Linked DNA regions of Neodiprion lecontei. The protein of the gene in region 2 purifies or fractionates together with the protein of the main gene of each other region. This does not show direct contact. Links are inferred from orthologs where the notes say so. Each region holds a gene or a part of one and is shown on either strand. Other genes may lie near its edges. The genes, in order: cullin-2, UBX domain-containing protein 7, E3 ubiquitin-protein ligase Topors and ubiquitin recognition factor in ER-associated degradation protein 1.

The links.
Region 1: the proteins of UBX domain-containing protein 7 (region 2) and cullin-2 purify together in Homo sapiens (affinity purification with mass spectrometry; 6 studies listed by BioGRID and IntAct, with this or other methods). This does not show direct contact. The link is inferred for Neodiprion lecontei from reciprocal best matches to the Homo sapiens genes UBXN7 and CUL2.
Region 3: the proteins of UBX domain-containing protein 7 (region 2) and E3 ubiquitin-protein ligase Topors purify together in Homo sapiens (affinity purification with mass spectrometry; 4 studies listed by BioGRID and IntAct, with this or other methods). This does not show direct contact. The link is inferred for Neodiprion lecontei from reciprocal best matches to the Homo sapiens genes UBXN7 and TOPORS.
Region 4: the proteins of UBX domain-containing protein 7 (region 2) and ubiquitin recognition factor in ER-associated degradation protein 1 purify together in Homo sapiens (affinity purification with mass spectrometry; 3 studies listed by BioGRID and IntAct, with this or other methods). This does not show direct contact. The link is inferred for Neodiprion lecontei from reciprocal best matches to the Homo sapiens genes UBXN7 and UFD1.

The regions. Positions count from the first base shown.
Region 1 is NC_060263.1:14,614,412-14,621,778, reverse strand, and holds cullin-2, read right to left. Parts: upstream 5,624-7,367; 5' UTR 5,487-5,623; exon of another isoform or gene 5,395-5,486; intron 5,367-5,394; exon of another isoform or gene 4,919-5,366; intron 4,679-4,918; exon of another isoform or gene 4,382-4,678; intron 4,278-4,381; 5' UTR 4,153-4,277; coding exon 4,034-4,152; intron 3,956-4,033; coding exon 3,457-3,955; intron 3,126-3,456; coding exon 2,946-3,125; intron 2,838-2,945; coding exon 2,619-2,837; intron 2,493-2,618; coding exon 2,322-2,492; intron 2,239-2,321; coding exon 1,297-2,238; intron 990-1,296; coding exon 858-989; 3' UTR 510-857; downstream 1-509. Other genes in the region: proteasome subunit beta type-3, read left to right, coding at 5,785-5,787, 6,062-6,627, 6,855-6,903; uncharacterized protein LOC107224358, read right to left, coding at 7,235-7,367.
Region 2 is NC_060264.1:30,478,638-30,484,568, reverse strand, and holds UBX domain-containing protein 7, read right to left. Parts: upstream 3,960-5,931; 5' UTR 3,646-3,959; coding exon 3,606-3,645; intron 3,166-3,605; coding exon 2,908-3,165; intron 2,648-2,907; coding exon 2,373-2,647; intron 2,219-2,372; coding exon 1,937-2,218; intron 1,838-1,936; coding exon 1,780-1,837; intron 1,702-1,779; coding exon 1,553-1,701; intron 1,433-1,552; coding exon 1,384-1,432; intron 1,294-1,383; coding exon 1,208-1,293; intron 1,080-1,207; coding exon 921-1,079; 3' UTR 525-920; downstream 1-524. Other genes in the region: histone deacetylase complex subunit SAP18, read left to right, coding at 27-120; mitochondrial import inner membrane translocase subunit Tim29, read right to left, coding at 4,440-4,849, 5,159-5,260, 5,447-5,588. UniProt on the Homo sapiens protein: Ubiquitin-binding adapter that links a subset of NEDD8-associated cullin ring ligases (CRLs) to the segregase VCP/p97, to regulate turnover of their ubiquitination substrates.
Region 3 is NC_060260.1:41,193,985-41,201,069, forward strand, and holds E3 ubiquitin-protein ligase Topors, read left to right. Parts: upstream 1-1,945; 5' UTR 1,946-2,108; intron 2,109-2,197; exon of another isoform or gene 2,198-2,299; intron 2,300-2,501; 5' UTR 2,502-2,549; coding exon 2,550-2,986; intron 2,987-3,237; coding exon 3,238-3,465; intron 3,466-3,695; coding exon 3,696-3,970; intron 3,971-4,417; coding exon 4,418-4,576; intron 4,577-4,737; coding exon 4,738-4,951; intron 4,952-5,055; coding exon 5,056-6,298; 3' UTR 6,299-6,555; downstream 6,556-7,085. UniProt on the Homo sapiens protein: Functions as an E3 ubiquitin-protein ligase and as an E3 SUMO1-protein ligase. Probable tumor suppressor involved in cell growth, cell proliferation and apoptosis that regulates p53/TP53 stability through ubiquitin-dependent degradation.
Region 4 is NC_060262.1:24,099,246-24,104,125, forward strand, and holds ubiquitin recognition factor in ER-associated degradation protein 1, read left to right. Parts: upstream 1-1,804; 5' UTR 1,805-2,357; coding exon 2,358-2,360; intron 2,361-2,481; coding exon 2,482-2,596; intron 2,597-2,675; coding exon 2,676-2,830; intron 2,831-3,335; coding exon 3,336-3,884; intron 3,885-3,971; coding exon 3,972-4,040; 3' UTR 4,041-4,353; downstream 4,354-4,880. UniProt on the Homo sapiens protein: Essential component of the ubiquitin-dependent proteolytic pathway which degrades ubiquitin fusion proteins.

The DNA.
Region 1 (7,367 bases), on a different chromosome or scaffold from region 2:
TCCGATTACAAGAGCGAGATAATAATTAAACTGATCAGAACTTTTCACTAACCCAAGGTGTGGAATAATTAGATGATGACTGTAACGGTCACAATGATATTAATCACGATTGGCTGAGATAAGATTAGTACAATATGTAAAGATTTGAAAAATCTTACATTATTAAATTTGTATACGCGTTAAAATAGCGATTACTAATTTATTTAGCATTATAAGCATTGTGTGATTTGACTTCTTAAATGTACAGTGAGAAATTTCATTTCGTACGTGCAGCACAAAGTCGCCTTCAATTAATAATTAGAAAACAAATTAAAAAGGTTAAAACAAAGATCAACTGATAAATATAAGTATGAATATACATGAATAGGCGGACTTATGCTCTGCCTCACCGTCTATTACTGAATTTTGAGACCAGGCATGGATATGAATATTCTGTCTCTTGCAGAAGCACTTTGTACAGGAGCAACAAAAAAAGAATGAATCTGTTACCGAAATCATTAGACCGATGATAAAATAATAACGGCATCTTTATTGGTTGCGTATATATTACATTTTACCTAATCAATTAATTTACTTTTAATCGGTTGAGGAGTAGTTAAGTTTCTTACGTTACTCCCTGGCCCTGTTTCATTGTTACAATTCAGCTGCATTAACTGGGCTGAATCTCATTTTCCTTGGCAGATAACTGACGTGCGATTACAATGCAAGATGATTCTTGTGTAACAGAGAGAGAGTGATGATCACATAGTTACTTGCTCCTGCTGACAATGAATCGCTTTACGTTGCGCCGTAGTACGCAAGACATACGGGAGTATCTTATTACTTGAAATAAATTAGCAAGGTGGATTGGAGCTAGGTTACGCAACGTAAGAATATTCGTCCGAACTGTTCGCCGTACGCTCGATATATTGTTTGTCAATCAGAGCCTCGATGCATTTTTTGATCATTCCAATTGATGGAGCAAAAGTAATTTTCGACTGACCAAGAACCTGTAACAATAAAATATATGTAGATTATTTGCTGCTTTGACAAACTTTAATCTTCTGTTCAGTTGTTGGAATGATTGTCCATGTTATTAATAAGAGTTATTGTCATTGTTGTTCAGATAAAAACATTTCAATATTGTAACCCATTGTAGCGGTAACGAATTAGTACGAGTTAGATTTTTCTTGTAATTAGAATATTGTTCTCATAAAAATAATAATCATCCACCAAAGGCAAACCAACGTCAATGATTTGATATTTGTTTTACGAATTTTTTTTTACAACGACTCTATTCAACGCATCAAATCTTACCTCTTGCACAAGTTGATTATGTCGCAGGAGTTTCCGACTCTTCATTATACGTACGATGGCAGCCTGGAGGTAAAGCTTACGATCGTGATCGACGCTGCGGTGAGTGGTTTCTGCATCTTGGGGTCCCTCCCGTTGAAGAGCGGCTGTGACCCGGAACTTCGTCCGTTTATTCGAGTAGTCCAAGTTGAGCATGAGTGTCGTCTCCTCGCCAAGTTCGCCATCGGGTGATTTCTTCAAAAGTTTACAGTCTATCAAGCTGACTACGTGTTTCTCGAGCTGTTCCTGAGACACACCAAGGGACATGGCAGCCTCCTTGCAAGGCAACGTATCGCATTGTTCGAACAACAGGAGTAGCGCCATTTGATAAGTTTGTACGGTAACCAGATACGGCCTTTTCAAGTAATTCAGCTTCAGTTCACCCTGGCAAAGAGGGTGCAGCCAGGTGAGCTTACGCCCACTGAATTGAGCGTGGTAAAAGGTCTCGAAAGCCTGAATGGACTGCTCTAGCTGCTGCGGAACGTGAAAAGGACCGGGAGCGGGAGGAAGACCGAGCGGCCAGGCACCGGCCTGAAGAACATAGACTCCGAATCCGATTCCGAGTTGTTTTTGGCCCTGACCTTCGCGTTCCCTCAGATTGGATGAAAACTTGGTATTTAGATCAGCGGAGACAGACATGTCGGTAAACATACGGTGCAATTTATTTGTGAATTCATATCCACATGCTTGTTTTAACCGGTCTATCATAGCTTCCTCCGCATCCATTGACTGCGACTGTTGATGGATTAACCGCTTGGCGAGCATTCGAGCGTAAAACTTCTGGAACACGTCCTTGTCGTCTACGTACTTGAAAACTGTTATCGACCGGGCCAATTTCTCCTCCACGTCGCCTTCTGTTGTTCCTCGGGATGATTTTTTCAGCAGGGAGTCACAGTACTTGGCCAACTAAAAAAATGCCTATTAGTTTTACATCTGGATACACAAGACAAGTCCCTAAATCACGTTTGGAATGCGTTGGGAAAATTTACCAGTTCGGCAGCACGTGCTGGCTGACGAGAAGCAGGCTGATGGTTAACGACGGCTGAACAGGCCTTATCTAGGGCGCTAATGAAAGCTTGATCACCTTTAAATACAGCCTTAATGAGCTCATAGTATTTGGTGTGGACGTCCAGCATGCTTTCCACGAATTGCGTGTGAACCTAAATGAATGAAAATAGAAGATCTTAGTATCATAAATCGTGAATAATATTGACTGATGAAAACTTGCGCTGTTGACTTTTTACTCGGAATGTATGTCAACCTTTGATCGCTTTGGAAATGCTCACATTGTCACCTTGGAGAGTTCCGATAGCTCTCAAGCCTTGCTGAGTGATATGCGCTGTAAGTTTTCGAATAAGCGGCGCCAGGCCTGATGGCAATGGCCTCAGCAAAGGATAAAGAAAACTGAGATCCCTTCTACGCTCATTTTCAATCATCACATCGGCTTCGGTGTGTAACCATGACAAGTGCGCGGCAACCATTTTCTCCTGACAGCACTGTCGCACCTTTAGAAATCATTACCAATTGAATATTATTATTGAAAGTAATCTAATATTATTAAAGAGACGTGTTGTGAACATCAGTTTCAACTTATTTATTAATACGTGCTTCACCTTTGGAGCTGAACTACTATGAAGGAATTTTTGGCAGCGTAGTTCTTCCTGACTAAACCTCCAGCTCACTTGTTCCATGTAATAAGATACATCGGACTTTTGGAGCAGCTCGGATGCTTCTCTTGCGTAAAAATTTCCACTATCTTCGAGGAAAGGTTCTTCAAAAATTTGCTGATACAACTACAAGGATACGATACGTGAAGAAAAGAAGAATATTTACTGAATTTATAACTGGGACGAAAAACGGCGAATATTTACTTTGCAAAAATTTGGATCTCATTGAAAAATACTTTTGAATATAAATTAGTTTCACGAACATGTAGAAGGAATGTAAAATGCTTTTGCACGACTATTATTGTCGGTAATGATACAGGTATGAAACAACTTTAGCTTTGCAAAGACTAGAACAACACCGGCTATTATTTATTCTTTCCAACAATATGATATTGTTAGCAATCGCGAAAAAGCTGAAATAAATTCTAATAAAACAAGAGATGTTTATTGTACGTACATCTAACTGGCCTTTCTTTTTGTATTCTTCCACACGAACAAAACTTTGAATGACCCCACAGATAACGTCAGTGGTAGCATGTCGAGCTTTTCCCAATCGGTCGCCATGAATTCCTGCTAGTAAGAGTGATACCAAAGATTCCTTCAAGGGAGTAATCATCTTACGTTTCCAAATATCCAGCCCAAGTTCTCCGATCTCCATTTGCTCTTGGTAATCTGCTGCGGCAGCGCACGATGCCCCGTATATTATTTCTGCCTCTGTTGTCTTTTGCTTTTTAATGTGTTGCTGATTGAGGTAGAGATAGAGTTGATGAAGGTAATCGATTCCCTGTGAATACTCTGTCCATGCACTGTGATATGCTTGCAGAAGACTTGCGTCCCCTTGTTTGGAGACCCCCAACAAAAGTTCTGACACATGATCGTCGAGAAAGTGCTTGGTTTCATCATATAGTCTATCGGCAAGTGGTTCAGGGTAAGCAACACACAGGGAATACACATCGCTGTTGAAAAGATTTGTTATGCAATATGCAAAGCCGAATTGATACTTGGTTCTAAATTTTAGATATAAATGTACGTACGTAAATCTGTCATTCCATGTCGATCTGGGGACATCGGCTAACGTGATGACTCCTTTGACAGTTTGTTGGAGAATATCCCAGGTTTGAGAGAAGTCTACCCGTTTTGGTTTCAGCGACATTCTTCTTTATTATTTCCGCTTACCTTTTCCAAGGTTCAATAATATCAGGATGTTTCTCAAGGAAATTCTTTTATGCTAAGTATCGGGATTACAAATGGCAGATGACAGCTTCAGCTGCGAGATATCTAAAAATGAGAATAATGCCGTGGTGGATCATATAAAACGAGGTATTCGAAGGTGAGAACGCAGTTTTACTATTAACTATTTTGTCAATATTCGAACAAAGTACCTGCTGTATAAATACACAATTATGTTTATGAATTCAAACTCTAAGCAGAGCAAAAATACAGGAAATGAAAAGAAAACTGTATAGTGTCTCGATGCCGTTCATGTCTAAAAGTCCTATGTTTTCATTTCGTGAGCCAAGTTGCGAGGTCAAAACATAATAGCTATAAACTACACGCAAGTGCAGAGTCATCGCTGCTTTCCTCCATGTTTCAAGCATCAGTGACATATCTCATTTTATACTTCAAACCATAACAATGAATTACTTTAAACAATCCTGATCTACATCTGTCTTAGCTTGATATATATGCTAGCTCACCAACAAGTACTGTCACATTAAAACAAATGTATCTAAATACACAAGCTTTCTATATGTATAACCGTTTTTATGACTGAAAATTTTTTCTTCAAAGTGATTAAGCATATGTGTACATTTGACAAATAGAGCGTCGCATTTTGCGACATATTGTTATATGAGAATTTTGAAAAATTTCTGCTGTGATAAAGATTTCTCTTAAATGAGAGAATAATTTATACTTACAGCTGTTATTGAATCAGAATCAATGGAGATGAAAGGAATTCAAGGTTACATACGTCTCAAATAATTTCATGCGTTAGTTTTTCCCATTGTAGACAAACAGAAAATTGAAGAAGAAATGAGAATTTTCATCTATTCTCAATTGGCAAACGGATTTTCGGAATTTAAAGGTCCTTGGCCGTTGGAAGTTTCCAATATATCCGTATGAGTAATGGATTATCAAGGTAACCAAAAAACATAGTTGTTTGATATAAATAGAAGGGTTTGATCGAAAGGAAAGCTTGAAGTTCGGGTACGCGAATAGAACAGAATTTCAAGCAACGCGATATAGCAGCGATTATAATTTTGAAAATATAGTGAAATTTCATATGAGTGGACAAGTCATCCCCTTGTTGCAAAATAAATGACATTTGAAATGCGTGATTCTGGAATCTGGGGAGCCAGTTCGTCGAATCTTATAACTTGCGCGTCTTACATACGTATCAATACAGCGGAACGGTGTTGGGTTAATTCCTTAACTAATCGAACCACTCATTCATTTCCAATCAACATGTACAGCCAAATAATCTACCTTAAACTTTTCAATAACATTACACGGCCATTATTTTTTTCTTCCCAGTTAATCCAAAACTAGGGGCGCGGGGTGTCTAGAAAGTTTTTCCACAAAGTACGGGATGCCCTGAAATGTAGTGAGGCATTCGTTCCTCAAATCACCACCAGAGTCAAGTACCGCGGCTACAAATTACGATGTAAAATGGGTCTCACCAGATCAGTTAGTTTGTGATTGCGAGTTGCTGAGGCGGCACGATTGCTGAACGAAACAGCGTCCTGAGCATTCCCAACAACCAGGCCAAAGATATTCCTTAGAAATGGTAAGAATTCCGATAAAACCAATAAGTCATAAGTCATTTGATTAAACAGATAATTCTTTTTAATCACTGCAAGATTCTATCGTATGCAGTGTTTAGTTTTATTTTTAGGTTAGGTTTATGTCAAACCGTGCATCAGATGACACTGCATATTTGTGTGACAGAAACTATAACCATTCTGTAATGAATTAACGTACCTTACATTCCCATTAATGTTGAGAAATTTCTGAGCTTACAGGGTATCTGAAATTTTATAACTTCATATCAATTGTTTTAGAGTATCTTGGCATACAACGGAGGTGCTATCATAGCGATGAAAGGCAAAAACTGCGTCGCCATCGCTGCGGATCGTAGATTTGGGGTACAAGCTCAAACGATATCATGCGACTTTGATAAGATATTTGAAATGGGTCCACATTTATACTTGGGACTGCCTGGTCTAGCCACAGATACCATTACTGTCATGGAGAGACTTAGATTCAGATTGAACTTGTACGAGCTCAAGGAGGACAGGAAGATTCATCCCAAAACTTTTAGCTCCATGATCTCTAATTTACTGTATGAAAAGCGATTTGGTCCATACTTTGTCGAACCGATTGTAGCTGGCCTAGACCCTGTCACCTTTGAGCCATTTGTCTGCAACATGGACTTGATTGGCTGCCCGAACGAGCCAGAGGACTTTGTAGTTGGTGGAACGTGTACAGAGCAGTTGTATGGAATGTGCGAGGTCCTTTATGAGCCTAATTTGGAACCTGATGATCTTTTTGAAACTGTTAGCCAGGCTTTGGTCAACGCTTGTGATCGTGACGCTATTTCTGGATGGGGTGCAATCGTCTATATTATGTAAGTAATGTATTGCACAGAATGTGATAAAAAAAAATTTTCAAGTTGAAGCTATGTCGACATGTATATATATATGTGTATATATATATATATATATACACATATGTATATCTACAAATAAAAGCTGCTAGTTGAAATTTTACTAAACATTCTGATGAAGTGGTGAGAAAAATCTGGCATTCTAGCAATACTGAAGCCATTTACTAATGCTACACTTTTCTTTTCAGCGAGAAGGACAAGGTTACCATACGACACCTGAAGACGCGTATGGATTGAAGTGATTCAGGCAAAATTCGTAAATCAACATTCTTTATTAAACTGTATGGTTAAGCAAAATGAAAAGAAAAAAAAATAATAAACAAAATGATTTATTACACTTTTTTGAGAAACAATTGGTTCATAGTATTCTGTAATCATCTTGCCTTATATCAGTCAAATGAATTGTGTTATGTCTGATTTCAGCAATTCACTAATGACCGCAAGTTTTTTGTCAGGGAAAACAATATTTGGGTATTGAGCGTGTTTAGTGAACTCATTTCGTTGGAACCATCCCTTTTTATTTTTCCTGTACAATACATTTACAGGATATTTTTGCTTGACATTACTATTATTTTGTAACTGGTCCTAATTGCTCGGGCCTAATTGGTTGCTCATTCGGGAATCTTAGCGGAAACACTCTTCTCTGTTGTTTTTGAACCGGTCTTTCTTTTGCTTTTTCAAGTTTTTCCATTACATATTTT
Region 2 (5,931 bases):
CTTATTTGGGCAACTTTTTTCCTCAGGTTCACGATCGGCGATTATTTGGACATATCTATTACCCCTCCGAATAGAATGTCACAGCCGATGATGCGACGTGGAGGCTTACGGCAGTATTGACTTTGTTGTATTTCAATTTTGTACGATTTCAAATTAGTGTTCGAATCATTTTCACTAGGCTTAATTAGATATAATATATATTCGTCAATTATACTTTTTACGTACGTTACGACGTGACATACTAATTGAGCCTATGACATAGTATTTGTTCGTGAAACATTTCACTGTTATTTTGTATAATTCGGGAACAAAATGAATTACAAATACGAATTTTTGCAAATTATACAGTTGTTTTCGATTTATATGCTCATTACTGATAAAGTACAAGTGTTCAGTTTTACCAATTTTCGGCTTTGCATTTTCTTAAGTAATATATAAATGGTTCACTTTAGTACTTATAAAAATTTACCAATTGAAATCGCATACGAATAAGGATTGAAAGTAAAAGTTGGACTAACGCCAAATTAAATGTAGATCCAATGGAATAAAATTCGATTGGTTGTTTTTATTTGGATTGGTTTCAGACATGATTAAAACAATTAGTAGATCTGCAATTATTGAGAATCAGTTAACTTTGTTCAGCCTTGATCATGAAATTATTTACACGAGGCGATTCTTCTTTTGGTATATTGAACATTGCTAAAAGTTAATCAAGAACGGTTAAAAGTGTCTAGAACTTTTCAGTTATATGTATAAACTGAATAAAGAGTAACGAAAAATTTAAAAGCGCAAGTATTACAGATACGAGACGAATTTTTTTCCTTTTTTCTTTTCAATAAATACAAACGACCGCTGGCAAGGGAGTATCATTTGCGATTTTTTTCCCCTCAAATCTTGAATTACCACATTACGGGATCAAATTATATTTTTGTTATAAAAACGGTATTTGAAGGAAACAGAATAGTTTCTGACAGTCGAGTTTGTTGAGAAAGAGCCCCAATATTTGTCCTAGGAAATGGAACTAGGTACGTGTGCTCCGAAGGCGGATAACCCATAGTTTCCATTCTGCCCAGGAAGCTCTGTGGAAAAAAAAAAAGCAGTAGAAATGTCATGATATAAGAACTTCGCGATGGATCGTATTTTGAGTTTTTCCACTGTATTCTAATGATAAAAAATCAAAACGAGGTTATACTCTTTGAAGACTTACTTTTATCGTGTCGCTAGCTCCCATAGAGATAGTTTCTTTGCCCCCATTTGGCAGTCGCAGACATAAACGCAAGGACGGCTCGTCATCTGTTGAACGATCATAACAAATAGTCGAAGACTCAATAATTTGTGGATCAAATTATGCAAGAGGTGAAAAATCAAGTTATTTATACTTACTTGAATTTACAACGGTTGAGTTGGGCTCAGAATTACTCGGTTCACCGTTCTGCAATCATATATTTCAAATTTTAGAGGTAAGAAATCAAAGGGACAAGATAGGAAAAAGTAAAAAGAGGTTCAGAGAGAATGTGGGGGTAAGCTGATTTGCAACTAGTGTTAGACGTACCTTTTTCTGTAATAAAGAATGTAGAATTTCGTGCTTTTTCGTCTTTGATAATTCCTCCGTTCGCGACCGTTTTCCTAAGATACTAACGCCACTACGAGGAAGGATTACGTTACTCGCGCTGGGCCCAGCATCGACACGTTCATTGTTAGCTGGAAGATTGCAATATGGCTTATTATGATGGGACAACAGAGTATTTCATTGATGCCTTGGTGTAGTTAATTTGTTACCTGATTCCACGGCCGTGTCTCGAATTCCTCTGGCTTTTTTGCTTTCTGGGGTCATACCCTAAGATCAAAAATTAAAATTTACGAAAATTATCAATTTCTTTCTTGCCTTTCGCAGCATAAAGAAAACATGATCACCAAAGTATTTCATCATACGAACACTTGCCGAAGATTCGGAAGGCACATCGCACCGCCGGACCATGGAACCTGCAGGGCATGATAGCCAGTCGTCTGTAGCGGTAGAAGGAACCTGCGGTGCAGTTTCCGGGGATAGATGATTGCTCAACATGTCACCTAGCCCTGAAACTAGATGTTCTACCGTAAACCGGTCGTATGTCCGGACACACTCGCCTGTTCTTGGGTCCAGAACAGCTAGATAAGGGTAATCAGTGACATTGTAGAAGTCGATGAAGCGTTGACCGTCAGATGTGTTAGATATGACCTGAGGATATGGCAAACGCTAGTTACACATGAGTAGAAAATTAAAGGCCGTTACTGGATCTACATATATATAATATTTCTTTTTCTCTGTTACCGATGGAAGGTCAAGTATGAGTTAAATTTCCTAATAATAAGTATGCGATCGATATAATTACCTGCCACAGAACGAAATGGTCCCTGACCATATCCCTGATCTGCTCATTGGGCCACAGGTCTCTGTTAAGTATTTGGCATGAGAATTCAAGTGGATTTTGTACATTAACAAGAAGCCATCGGTTTATGAGCTTCGCATGTTCCCTAGCCTCGATGAATGATCCCAAAAACATGATGTCGTAAGGGGGTCTGAAGAGGTCTTCCAGGCGCTTGGACTTCCTTGGTGACATTTTTTTCACCCCTGTTACCCTCCGCGCCATTTCCTCCTCCTGGCGTTCTGGCATCAGTTAATTCATTCAATTTAAACATCGCATATTAGCTTGAAACTCACTTGAATCCATGTAACTCAAAAGGAAACTCTAAAAATTGATGTTTCACGCCGATTCTCAGCATCAAGATGATATTTGCATCGCGTATTACAAACATATCTTGCATAAACTTTTTGGTAATTAAAAAGTACGATGAAATAAGGTAAGCCGACGCCGATTTATAAGGATAAAAAGCCGTCCCGGTTATCGAGAGCCTCTTGTTCCTTACGTGTTTCTACCGCAAAGTCCCTAAATCTATCAAACACACTGTTCGATGCTCTGGGGAACGCACAGACGGGCTGTGTTGGTACCAACACTTCTCGAGTAGGTAGAATTGGCGGCCTGATCTCTGGTTCTGGGGGTTCAGTTTGACCGTCTACGTCTGCTACTGCCTCTGCTCCGCCACCTTCAAACATCAGGCTAATAGCAGTCTCTACATTGCCGTCAGCCACCACGAGGTACTGTCTGGCGACAGCCTCGCTGGATCCTGGAATTTGGAAAAAATGTTCTCATGAAAGAGAGGGAAGAAAATAATTTGAAACCAAATTAGGTTAGGTTAACACAAAAAGGGCAGTATTGGATAAAGTTAGGTTAGATGAATGAATCAAAGTGAGGAAAACTTGGGAAACTCAAGATTAGGTCAGATGAGATCAAGGTCAGCTAGGGTGAATTGAAATAAAACCCATGGTAAATGTGTTATGCTGGTAAGGCTAGTAAAATGGGTAGAATATTACTGTAATACAATTCTTTGGAAATAAACATTTCAATGTGAAGTAAAACAGAGAAACGGACTCCTGCATTCTTTGTTTACCGATTCAACTGTTCGTACAGTCACATTGAAGCATTGAATTTGTGTTAACGGCAAAATATAGAACTGAGTATAATGAAATTGATATTTCAATTATTACTGTTCGCTTTTGGGCTAACCTGTGACTTCGATGAATTTTTCAATCAGTTCGCGATCCATCCTGTTACAACATCAAGCTCTAGTTTTGGATTCTATATCTGTTATTCGCCGATTGTTGTATGAGAAAACAAAATCGTCTTCGTGTTTGTTTGAAATTTCGGTGGTACAAGAACGCTTCCCTTGAATATTAAATCCGGTATCGTTTCACGGTCGCGGATCGATGCGATTTCGAATCCAGATTTTGAATTCTTGAACTTTTACCGAATTTTATAACAGCCACGGATCACTGCGGCTGTCAACCGGCATTAGCTATTTTGTCTTCAGCTTTCCTCTCCTCTCTCTATCTCCCGCTGCGCAACCGTTGCCACAATCGATCATGGACCATGAATATTCTCATAAGAAGGTAACTCTGTTGGGATTTTTTACACCGTTCATGAAATTAGATGAGACTTTTGACGAGAGTTGGACAATTCATTGAAAATATCTTGAAATAACGTTTTCATTTCAACTACCTTCACGCGAGTTTTTGATTAGATCTAACAGAATAGGCCAATAATAGTAAATTATTTACAACTTTATCAGAAATTAATGAATTCGAAGCATTCGAATCTTTTTCAAGCGCAGTATTCCGCCACGTTCTTTTTCCATCATCTTGTAATATAATTCTCTAATAAATTCCAGCTTTCGATCCCAAAGTATCAATAGTGCATATATAAGTTTAAAAAAATTTACCATACTTGTGTGTGAAGGCACATTTATTCAATGAATAAACCTTCTATATGTACATATGTATAAATACTATTATAATAATTAATATTTGTAATTTTATCCGTCAATAATATTCGATATTCTCATTATGAGCCGATTTTATCTGGCGAAGTGGAGAAGTTTTTAAATTCCTCTTCATTTATATCAAAATCAGTCATTTTGTCCTCCAGTAGCCACCACTTATCCATGAAACCAATGTCAACTATTCTGTGATGAAATCCTAAATACTGTGGTTTGAGATACGAACATGTTGCTTTGTAGTGAGCACATTCTTTATCGTAGTTATCCAACCATATAAAAGAAACAATCCCCAAGCTCAACCTGCGTATGATCCCTTCATTGAAGCACTGTTCTATCGATTTCAAATGCCTTACACTTTGACGATTCCGAATTGGTTCTCCAACCATCATCATCTTGTTTGATTCTTCTATCAACATGTTTCTGTACGAATCTGGACTAGGGTTGTGTCGTGAAAAGTAGTATACACTGCCTAGAACTGAAACATAAACCAATTCACACGAAAATTTCATACCGAATACAGAACATTTACTGGCTCCTCTGACTCTAAATAAATATATTTTTCTTTTGTATTTTTGGTTTGATTCACTGCAATAATTAGTGTTATCTGCACTAATGATGAGCAGCTATAGTGGGCTTAAACATGTATTTTTATGAGCTGCGAATCCTTTACAAAGAAGTATAGTGATACATCTAAGATCATAAAGATAAAGAAAAAAAAACTAAGTTGTCTCTCATTCCAGCAGGTTTCACTGCGGGAAATTAAGAAATATGATTTTTCACTTACGAGAGAAATAGATTGAAGCACGAATAGGCCGATCCTTACATCCTTGTGCAACATCCTTAGCCACATCTCTGTAGTCAATGAAGAGATTCTTCCAATATTTTGCTACAATGAAAATAAAACAGGTGACAATTATCGAATGATTATCGAACAAGTTCGCATACTCTAAGCTAACACCCGATCTCCCTATATTCTGTGAATTGCTTCGTCAAATTTATATAAATATAATATAACCTGTAAATACCTAACCTAACTTAACCTCGAACAAAAATTAACATGACCTGTTCTTACCCCAACGATCTAGTAGCCGTTCCTTCACTTGCTCCGTCACTTCAGGATCCTTAGCTTTGCTTATCTCAGCTGAATTTGTACTATAGGTTTTAAAAAATTGTTTAAATCTATTACGGAATAAATGGGATATCCGAACCGCCATAGTTAGTTTACTGATCAACGAAGCGTGCGGCGATTGAATTTCGCTCACTGAAAAGTCACTCTCATTTAAATTCCATAATAAGAATAAGTTCTTAGTTAATGACAAAGCACGTGACGTTGAAAAATTCCTATTAATTAATAAATTGAGCCGAGGCGCGAAAGCATCGCGCTTGAGTAAAGTTGGAAAAATACGGCTACTAGCTTTCTTATCGTGAATTAAATAAGTCGTCTGCTCTGGTTTGGTAAGCGCGGGGACTTCCCATAAAGCATTGCGGAACGCGGATTAACTTTAAACATTTTGAACAAGGACGATAGTCGATCTATTTATTTGTTTCATTTTCTTC
Region 3 (7,085 bases), on a different chromosome or scaffold from region 2:
GTGGTTAACTTATTTTTTAGTGTTTTGTTTAAGACTTGAATACAGTATTATAGCAAAGGCAGCAGTAATTAACTTAAATACAGGAAAACTTCGCGCAAAAACCTGTGATTGAAAATTCATCCTCATGTGGTATCCACTCAGCCACACCACAGCTACGTCCGTGAGCGCGCGTTTGCTCGGTATGTTTATGGAGCTTGCTTGGAATTCGCTGATGCTTCTCTGGAAGATTCAGTTCGAGAAAAAAAAAAAATTTCCCCCAACCACTTGCCCATTGCACATTTTGCATAAATGTTATCGAGCTGGCTTCGTATATTTTTCCATAGACTGCGTGCACAAATATTCGAGAATACCAGGCGTCACATATTTTCATATCAATAAAAAAATAATATGTATTAAAAAAAAAAAAAAAAGTATTCGGACTGGGAATAGTTAACTAATTTGGTTCAGCGTCCGCTAATTGATTCCAAGATTTATCAAATCTGGAGATACTTTTATTCGCTGACATTCATAACTGAAACAAAAAAAATCCCAATTCTTGCATTCCTGGAAACATCTGTGCGAGCGGGGACAAGGATGCGATTGGCAACCACTTGCTCGAGCAGCCGAGTGTATCTATATATACACGATTGTGGGCCACCTTCGGTGCATGGCCGCTTGATGTCAGGTCGGAAATGGGCCACCTTCGGTGCGTGGCCGCCTAGGTGTCACGTCGACGCTCCAACTTAGCTGGTATCACGAAAAGCCGAGCGTTGGAGATCTCCCTACTCATCTCTGCTAGTAGGGTGGGGGAATGACTCAGATAATGAGGCAAAACCGTGGTTCTCGTCTTCGCCGTCTGCAGCGCTGCCCCCTCGGGGTGAGCCAATTTTTTCGGAATCGACAATCCTGAATAACACTCAAAAATGAAGAAAGATGCGAATAAAAAATGATTGAGATGTTTACTAGCATTCCATGGCGGGCGTGATAATTGTTTTATTTTAACGAAATCCTCAAATGTTTAAGTCAATAAAATCCATAAACATCAAGCGAGGGCTCACAACTTTTGAGACAGTTTTAGATCTTGTGGAGATGATCCACCGTTTACACACTTTACACTGAGTTATGAACTGTCAAAAACTTCGATGCGCAGATTATTTTATCGGTATATATCTATATCTATCTAAATATAGAGGAACTAAAAAATAGGGAAAAAACGCGTACAATTTTTTAGTATACGAGCAGCGGTGAGTGTCAAGGGGCTGACCACGGTTTTATATACAGGTCTGGAAACTCCTATGCTGGGAGCCACGATTATTCGTGTCGCTTAACGAGTGCAAATTTCGATTCTAGCGGCACCACCAATTGTCGCTGCGGTCTAGTTACCAGGATAACAATAATCTCAATAAATACGATGAGTGAGCGTGAGTGAGCGAATACTCATATACATATATGCGAATACCACGGCCTTGTCTGGACCCCCGGCCCCGCCAACGCTGTTGATAAGATCGCAACGAACCTAGTGGCGACTAGTGAACACAGAAATTGCTTCAATAAGCGACATACCCCCTCCAATGGAGTTTCCAGACCTGTATGTAAGACCGTGGGGCTGACCGTGCTCACGGTGCTCACGATCGAATGTTAATACTGCGTTTCCATCGAACTTCAAATCGGTTGACTATCATGATGTGAGGACTGAAGTATGAAGAATCCACTAGATTTAGGGAATTCCTTAAATCATGGGAATTCTTAAAAGTCCATTGTTTGCATTGTTTTTAATTAAACGGTTGACATATTGCTTTATCGGCATGCATGTATGTAAATATGAATACAGTGAAATGCATAAATGCTTTAATCTTTCGGCTATCTTGTTTCGGTCTGAAACAAAATACGAGTTCAATTCCACACGAATCATGTGACCACGACTGGCAGTGCAGCTGGAGCACGGATGGTTGGCTGGTTAGTAATAACCAGTTAACGCCCTTGGTACAGCTGCGAGCTTTATGATCAAATTAGCCGATGATGGCAGTCGGTGCCTGCGTTGAGCCCTTTCATATCTCTGCTACTGATTGTAGTTTTAATTGTCAACGTAACTTGTCGCATTTCCTTCGGTGGTAGGCAACATTTTAACGGTGAGCGGATGTCATGTGATGCGTTACCTTTCGGCTATTCCACAGTTTTAATCACTTAACTTTTCCTCAGTCAAAGCTACTACTCAAGGGCAGCTTGATTGGGAGTTGAAATTTTCGTGGATTTAATTACGGCTTTGAATATTTATATTCTCTGCCTCGGAATCCAAAAGATTCTGCCTGTATTGATATAAGTAGGCAGTTACGCGTATAGTATCAACTGTGCTGTATACAATACCCTTTGTACATTACAGTATAAAGAGAGTAATCGTAAACAATATCTGTAGATATTTGCATTTCCATCATCCAGTACTGCGTATTTTTCAAATCAAGTAATTTATTGCTGGACCTATCCACACTTGGGTCATAATATCTTTAATTGTGTGCATAATACAGGAAAAGGTAATGCAAGGACCAATGGACCACGAAAAGAATTGACGCAAAATGGATGAAGAAATAGAAAGCATACGTGCGGCCGCCGCTGCTATTCCAAAGGGTCCGCTAAAGACGGAAGAAATATCTCCAAGTAGCCCAGACAATGAACCAAGCGAGCGAAGTGACGGCACCACGTCTCCTCCACCTAATTGCAGCATTTGCTTGGGCAAGCTCGTCAACAAATCTTTCACCGACAGCTGCTTGCATCAGTTTTGTTTCAGCTGCTTGTTAGAGTGGTCGAAAATAAAAACAGAATGCCCTCTGTGTAAACAAACTTTCAAATCCATCATACATAATGTTAGATCCGAGGGCGACTATGATCAATATCATGTTCCCCGTCAGTTTGTCTCACTGTCTGCGTCACAAATGGCTGCAACAGTGGATGTTCATTTTGATCTGGTCAGCAGTATAAACCTGCCGAGGGAAACACATGGATTTAGTTACCGGTAAGTTAGCTAAAGAGAGATTCTTCATTCTTGGTTGTCGGTTACTGGCAATGGCAGCTAATAATTTTGAAATCACAATCAAGCGTTCTGCACAGAAAAAACTTCATGTTCCTACAATATATTTAATATGGATATGATATGCTGCCAAAACAATAAGGCCTGGTTCCCGCTAGAAAACTATTTACATGTCGTTCAAGAACGTATTTATTTGAATGCTAGAAATCGTTTTTATTGACAACCTTCTGTTTTAGTACAACAATGACACCTAATCATCGATACCGAAATATCTTAAATCCCGAACAAGTTATGAGGAATGAACAACTACCTGCTGTTACGTCACTAGTTACTAGAGAGGAACGAAGACTGCGACGTACTAATCCTATTGACTATCGGCGCAATGTGTATCGTTTTGGACATTGGGCGACATCTCTACCAGACATATTTGGAAACTTTAGGGAATGCAGTGCTGAATACTATCGGTAAGTTACACTGCTTATGTTTCGCATTTTACTTGTATTATTTAAAATGAATTATTACAGTTTCAATTTTGAATTCCTACTTTTTCCTACCATTTATTTCCATGACTTCAAATCTGAAGATTATTTTAATTATTTAGATACAAAGTCCAAAATACTTAGTTTTGGAATTTTATTAAATTTCAATGTTTACCAGGATACTAAGACATGTGTTGTATTGATCTATTTTACAGGCGAAACCCAAACCAATTGAATCGATTGATTCCTTGGCTGAATCGCGAACTGCAAGTATTGCTTAACAACAATGCTCCGCAAATAAGTTACGTGATGCGTGTTATCATGGAATCTATCACACGGCATGACTTGAGAAGTTCCGACTTTCGAGACACAGTTCGTCCCTACTTTGCCATGCACACCGAGCACTTTGTCCATGAGCTACTCAACTACGCGCAGACCAGTTTTGACTTGATTGGTTATGATCAATATGTTACCTATGTTTCAAATCGTGGTTAGTATATTTGATTAAGGTTGCATGTTGCAAAATTGTCCGCCAATTAATGTCACCGGTTCATACCATTCAAATTCTATCTCTTCTTCCAACAAAATTTATACATTCTATAGTCACATAACTAAAAAGATTTTCAACTGAACAATTTTACTGTCGCATTCTTACCCAATTGATGTAGCTTTTTGTTGGACTTTAAAATCCGCTACATATCTGTAGCTATGGAAAACATCTCTTTGGTCACTGGATTATAGTCTTTCACGTCTTTCGGTGAATATCAAGGTGTAAAATTATTTTGAATAATAATGGCCATTTGGACTTCCGTATCAGAATTTAACTTGGCGAACAGAATAACCGATGAGGTCAAATTGTATACAATTTTCGTCGGAGAATAGTTGTGGAAATACCTGAATTGATTTTGGACATCCTCATATGTCATATGTGTCGCAGGTTTGTCCAACGAATATGTCCCTGTCGTATCATCACCCAGTTCTAGTAGCAGCAGCATATCTACTGATTCAGATGTTCAAGTTGTTGAAGAAACTATCGATGCAAGTCGGATGAATATTGAGATGCTCGGAATAGGTCCGCATACAGTCGAGATGCCTGGTATGTAGTCTAATACTAAGTACATACATAAGTATCTACCCTTGACTAACACAGTCTTTGGGAAACTCAATAATAATACATTTTTTCCTTGCCCATGCTTGCATATATTTTGTGATTTCATGTAATACTTTACTCTAATCTTGCATTTCCTCTCTCTCAAGGTCCAAGTACAGTAGCCGAAGCACTCCGAGAAACTGCACAAACTTCTAATATTGTATTGACAATTTCGTCAAGCTCATCAGGAATATCAGATAATGAATGTGAAGTTGTGGGGTATGTGAAGCCTCGGCATGAAAGAACACCAGAAGTTATCGATCTATTATCATCGGATGCTGACACAGTGAATGTGCCTGATGCTCCCAATTTAGACTATAGGTGAGTCTTGTGTCTCTTACGCCAATTGCTTAGAATTTTATATGAAATTTCCATTTTCTTAATGCTGAATATCTGCCTCGCTGATCATTGATACAATTTTTTAGCGAGCATACTAGACATAACTGTCAAGTTGTGACAAAACAATGTCCACCATTTGAAGATTGTATAGATCGGTCTCCTTTTGATTCGCCGAGTGTATCAACCTTAAGCGAAGTTAACGAGGCTACGACTTCTACGGATAGGAAAAGAAGCTCAACTCAAAATACTCTGGCATCCTTAAAACGATTTTCTGACACAACGACGTCGGAGAGTGATGATATCGATTCTAATCGGGATTATACTCCCTACAGCGGTAACGGATCAAAGAACAAAACAAAGAAGTCAATCATTGCCACAAGTCCTGTACATGGTCAAAAGTACAAGCGGGGTACGAATATGTTTGTTCGAATAAAGCGTCGTGTTAAAGCATTGATTTCAAGTAGCAGCGAATCTGAAGGCCGGATCATAGATGGAATGTTCAAACCCGTGTCAATATCACCAGAAAGTGACAAGAGAGAATATTCTTCAAGTTGGAATGATTCTAGTCCAGACCGGCACAAAAAACGTCAGGAAACAAAAGGTAAATCCAAATTAATGAAATCGGCAATATCCAATATGATAACAGTTCGTAAAGACTTAGTTAAAAAGGAAGAATGGTGCAGTGAAAATTGTGCAGAAAGCGATGCCTCTCAACGAAGCACCAGTATTCCCAAACATAGATCTTGTAGAAACAAGAAATGTGGATCGAAGAGATATCGTTCGATCAAGGATTCAGATTCCGAGCGAGAAGTAAAGAAGCGTGAAAGCGACGAATATAATTCTTTTGAAGACAATGGGATGTCAAGTAAAAAACTAACAGAAGCTAATTTTAAAGTCGACTACAGCACGACAGATTCTGAGAGGAATGTGTTGAATGGTCGCTCAAGTAGCTATTGCAGCGCACGGTCGAGTAAAGCATATGTTGGTAAGAAAAAATCAAAACACAAGGATAGACGAAAAGAAAAGGGAAGTCGCAAATCCGACAGCAAGACTGTTGCTGCTACTGTCACAGATTCATTCCAGGCCGATGACAATTGCACACCAAGTGTTTCAACGGCATCTGTAACTTCATCCATTAGAAGTGACACACTTCTTTCATCTAGATATGCCAGTTCTAAAAAACGTTCGAGTTCTAAGGAGAGACGTAGATCCCACAAAAAATACAAGGAATCCAGAAAGTCTCATAAACGATCTAAGAGCGAATCTAAATCAAGGTCCAAGAAAAAGAAACGCCGTATTAGATCGTCCTCCAGCTCTGACTCGGAATAAAACATGTATTAACAAATTTGTTCATTAACGTTCAGTTCTCTGTTCGTGCGCGGCAAGATTTAACTCTCACAAATCATGTCTAGATGAAATATCTTGTTGATAATAATTCCCAACGCTAGCGTGCGCTAGCAAAAATAGGACCTGCATAATTCATAGATATACGTTATGGAAATAATTGATTGAAGGGTGATCATAGAATACACAATTCACGAGAGTAATTGAACGTTTCTTACACCTATGTTCTATTTTTATTAAAGGCCCCCCCCCCACCCTCTTCTTTTTTATGCAGTAAATACGGACGAAAAAAAAAAAAAATACAACGATAACACGTTTTCGAATTGAATCATTTTTTTGCTCAGAATTGAATGAAAGAATTCCGTGAATCATAAAAAAATGTACGTTAAATTTTCGATACGTCAAAAAAATTTCTCACACTATTTCAAAGTCCTATTTGAAATATGTTTGAGCACACTTTTAGTACGTCGGAGCAACTTTTCTAATTAATTTTATTCCTGTTTTTTCGAGCCTTCCCGAATTCATTGTCAGTTTTGGCCTGTTAGTGATCCGTGGCCTTAAAGTTCAGTAGTAAACCATGCGTTTAAACTGTCGTAATTTCGTAAACGTACGTTAGTAATATTGAGTATAAGTAATGGCAATATTCAATACTTCTATTTTTCTAAGTGATACAAAAGTGATAAGCTCCCTGCTTTATTAATCGATGACGTGCGGCGACGAGACAGAATTATACAAACAGAAACGCATTCTCTTGAAGGATAAAATCAAAAGC
Region 4 (4,880 bases), on a different chromosome or scaffold from region 2:
ATTCTCCTATATCTTAGAATGGCTTTATGTTGTAAAAAGGGAGAAATTAAAATTATTTAATGATAAAAAAATTTGAGGTACTGAGTTTAAAAGATCAATGAAAAAAACCACTTTAAAATGATCAAAAACTATGCGAATACGAGTACATCGGGATCTTCCGATTAATAGCACGATCAAAAAAAAAAAAAACCTTGTCCATAGTGCGGTTACGGTATGGTACTATTGGTTTCTTATATTCATTCATTGAAATTGTGGGATTCACGTAAGTTGTATAAATGACAATAATATTTACGAAAAGAAATTTTAGATTCTATTGTCATTTTGACTTGGCTTTTTTGGCTGGTTCAAATGCTGTTACTGCGTCTCATCTAGGTGGTGAGAGTGTAAATTGAACATGAATGAACCCACAGAGTAAAAGGAAAGAATAATCTTCCAAGGAGTCTCAATTTAACTGCCTCGACTATCATAAGAGGTAACACAAGGATTATTACATTTATTAACACACTTGTTAATTGTATAAGAACGAAAAATATTTGCATACCAATATATCGTTCATAAAAAATAAATACCCCAGCATGTCTGACCGCCAGAAGTTATACCGCTGTAGGCGTGTTTTACCCAGGTACCATATCTGTCGAACTGTCGACTATCATTTGACTAATTACAGCCGTGATAATTTCAACAAGTGAAAAGTTTGACTTAGAGATGGCAAAAAGTCGGCAGAATGGTGATTGAGATGTGATAAGTACTGTCAATTAGCCAAAAGTCAAAGCTGTATCATCCATATGAATGTTCTCAAAAACGTCTAGATCAAGACGATGCCAAAACAAAAATTAGATATCGTATGGAATTCATCATATCGAGTGTCCATTACAAAAAACTTGGTAAATATCGAAATTTCAAAGATTCCTTTGAGGATATTTTTTATTGCGTCAGGTCAGTTTACAGTCGAGTTTCACACTATTGATTGTAAATTAACTACCTCGTGAACATGTATGAACGTATGGTTGGCATGTAGTGAACTATTGACTTCAAACACGTTCTCATAATCAGTCTTCATCTTTTGCTGACAATAAGTCAAATATGATTCGTTACGTGGGTAGCAAATAATGATCTCCCGTTGTCATAATGCTCCGATATACGTCAACAAATCAGGATCTGCTCCTACTGTGTCTGAAGTTAAGTAAACCGCAATACTTCATTATCAAACATCTTGAAAACTTGACTTCTACAAAGTTACTAAATTTCAAAATAGTGATTGTTCTCTCAATGTTTCGTGATTTTGTTTTGTCATTTATCTATTCTAAACTGTGTCTACATTGTGCTTATTTGTTTTTGCTATACATTACTCAATTTCCTTGATTTAGCAAAAGACTGGTATATTACTACGCTGTTATTTTAACGTGACAAATATTAATTACATTACTGATTAAATCCAACTCAGCATGTGGTAAAAGAGTAAATTTATACCATGATTGCAGACTATTATTCAGAATGCAGCTGTATCTTTTTTTTTTACTGCTCTCAGACTTTCTCACGCTATTTATCGACAAATTACATGGTTCATCCATGAAAAGCTGTATTTTTTTCTAAGAAGCGCGGAGAATATAAAAATGGCCTGTATGCAATATTGGATCTGGTAAGAGGTAGGCCGATTTTTTCTATTTTTACGGTAATCCATGCCAATAATAAAATAAAAACCTTTTATCAACTCATAATAAGATCACATTTTCGTTGGAATTTTTCTTTGTGCTGTACCTCTAAGGTGTGTGCTGATCTTTTAAATCCACGCGTATTTCTTATACCCTTTTATCAAACCCGCGCGCCAACATAATTCTTTACTGTTCCGAGCAACCCTTTTGGTTCTCAGCACAAGTGCGAAAGGTTCGCGCTCTTGCTCATTCGTGTAATCCGTGGCTATAATACGGAAAGACTTGGCTTGTAGGAGTCGGACCCATGAACCTGTTACGTTATCAGTGCTATTCTGGTAGTTATTGTGAAAACTACGATCTTTTCCTTCTTTTCTAGCTGCAAACAAAGCCGAACAGTCTACGTCGATCGTTTTCCTTGTATCTAGACTCCGTGTCCACGGTTGTTGCGTTCCGAAAAACGGACCCTGCGCAATGCGATTCCATCTTACGTCCTCGTTGCTCGGAGAATTTGTGCGACGCTTTGTCTCTCTTTAACACTGTCGCATTTCCCAACTTTAACTCTGCAATGAAATTTGAAACATGACTTGGCTCATATCGATGTCTGACTCGCATGTCGTGCGACTTCAGGGTTATATATTTTTTGCAGAAATTTGCTCTTGATTATTGTATTTATAATAGTTAGGGTACAAAAAGAAGCTCGTCAAAATGGTGAGATCTTTTCTGTTGTATGAAACACCTAAATCACGTAACTAAGTAATAAAAATACGAATGCTTTACTGTACAATGAGGTTATGTTTATACAAATAAAAATTAGACATTCAACTTTCAGTTTGGGTTTAACATGTTTCCCGACATACCGAGGCATTTTAATACCCAATACAAATGTTTTTCCGTCTCGATGATCCCTGGGACCGAGCGGCAAGATGTGGAACGCGGCGGAAAAAGTAAGCTGACGATTGCCAGTGTTCTTTGTATCGCTGTCATAATTGACATTTGTTATATTTTGGCTTCTATTCTTTTCAGTCATCATGCCTCCTTCGGCACTTGACCAATTGACGAGACTCAATATCGTTTATCCAATGCTTTTCAAACTAACTAACAAAAAATCCAATCGAATTACACACTGCGGTGTTTTGGAGTTTGTCGCAGATGAGGGGAAAGTGTATTTGCCATATTGGGTATGTATTGAAGTTATAAAAATTAAATTTTACTGGAGTTTATACAAATGAGCAAGCAAAATCGCACAGTCTTGCTTGAAAACACGAGGTGCATCAAGTTTTGCTCGTTGACTTGCTAAGTCAATGTATCGTTCACAATTGATGCCATCTAGATTCTAAAAAATTTGTCAATTCTCGAGTCGAAAAAACTTTATATCCAGTTTCTTAATCCTCAAGCTGTTCGTCTCAGATCCAGGTTAAAAATTTATGCAAACAAGTACAAATCACTCTCTTTAAACTGTGTGATTGCATTTAATAATGTGGCGTTTGGGGGAAATATATTCATGCCATTCAGTCACACAAGTTCAAATCTGTTCAGACTGCTATAGTTTCATTTACGTATAGTAAGACGAGAGATTAAATATGTGCCTATATTCAAAGTTCTGAAGGACTTTTCAGTAATATTGAGCTGGGTATATTTAATTTATTTTTATTAAGGAGCTGACCATATTTTTATGATTTGTAGATGATGCACAACCTTTTATTGGAAGAGGGTGAAATATTGAATATTGAAAGCGTAATGCTTCCAGTCGCTACATTTTCGAGATTCCAACCGCAGTCTGAAGACTTTTTAGACATTACGAATCCTGGAGCAGTCTTAGAAAATGGTCTGAGAAGTTTTGCCTGTCTTACGACTGGGGATATTATTGCAATAAAGTATAATCAAAGGATATATGAAATGTGTGTATTGGAGACAAGGCCTGGCCCAGCAGTCAGTATTATCGAATGCGATATGAATGTTGAATTCGCGCCACCGGTCGGTTACAAAGAGCCAGAAAGAGTGATAAAACCCCAAGAAGAAACAATAGACCCCGTCGATATGATGCCCGCTCCGCTAGGATTCGTTGCCTTTAAAGGACAGGGCAATAGATTGGATGGAAAGAAACGTAAAGATTCTTCGCTGCCTGAACTAAGCTCTGGCAAACCAATATACGTCAGGGGAATACCGGATTATGATTATAAAATCGGAACGCTGAAATTTTTACGGACTACAAAGCCGGTTAATAATAAAGAGGTGGGAATTGCTTTATCATTCATTGTATTTTGTAAAAAAATTACTTCAATGTATAGGAATGAAAGTAAAACTAAAGTATTTTTGCAGAGTAAAGACGTAGACGAATTCAAGGCGTTCACTGGTGAAGGTTTTTCTTTGCGAAAATCGAGAAAATAGCGTGTGATAATAAAGAGTGAGGAAAGGAAAAATGAAATTATGACTGTGAAATTTATTTATCTATATACTCCTATTAATTTTTGAAGAAACTGTTTATAGATAAAGTACCGTTTCTATAACTTTTACTACATCTGTAACTTGTATATAGTTTCGGACATAGTACAGAAAGCATGTGTATTATAATTGGGTTTGCCAGAAGAAAACAATTTTCGAATTTCCACTCATTACGTCCATTAAATCCGATTTACACCATTGAGTCCATGTTTAATATGTTTAATTTCTTAATAAAAATTATCAGAAGTAGCTTAAAGAAGCACCGTGAACCGAAACGTGTCGTGAATTTGCGCCATTCTATTTACGTCACTGTTCAGTTTTCCAGTAATTTTCCAGCATAATAACAAAATTTTCCGGGAACCCAGCTGAATCAGCTATGATCGAATCGTGCTATACTAGGTAATATTAGATTTAATTGGCTTTAATTAATCGATGTATTTTTAATATCAATCAACTCCCAATTGAAAACCGGTAAAGTCAGTCTAAGATAATCGGAATCTATAACTTTTTTTCAGCTCTAATTATTTCAATCCATTAATTAAGAAAGGTGTACAAACATACGAAATTTATACATTTTACGAATCATCGGTGGTATGAAATGCCCATAATACTAGAGTAAAAAGCTATGGAGCTTTCATTTGGAGTGATTTGAAACAGATTTCAAGTGAGCACGTAATGTTTGTGTAAGAATACAAGTTTTTATTTAGTGTAAAAATGTTGTCATTCGTCAAATGAGAGAAATTGAAACTGAAGGGTTATGACAGAATTAAAATTTTTTCCACGTAT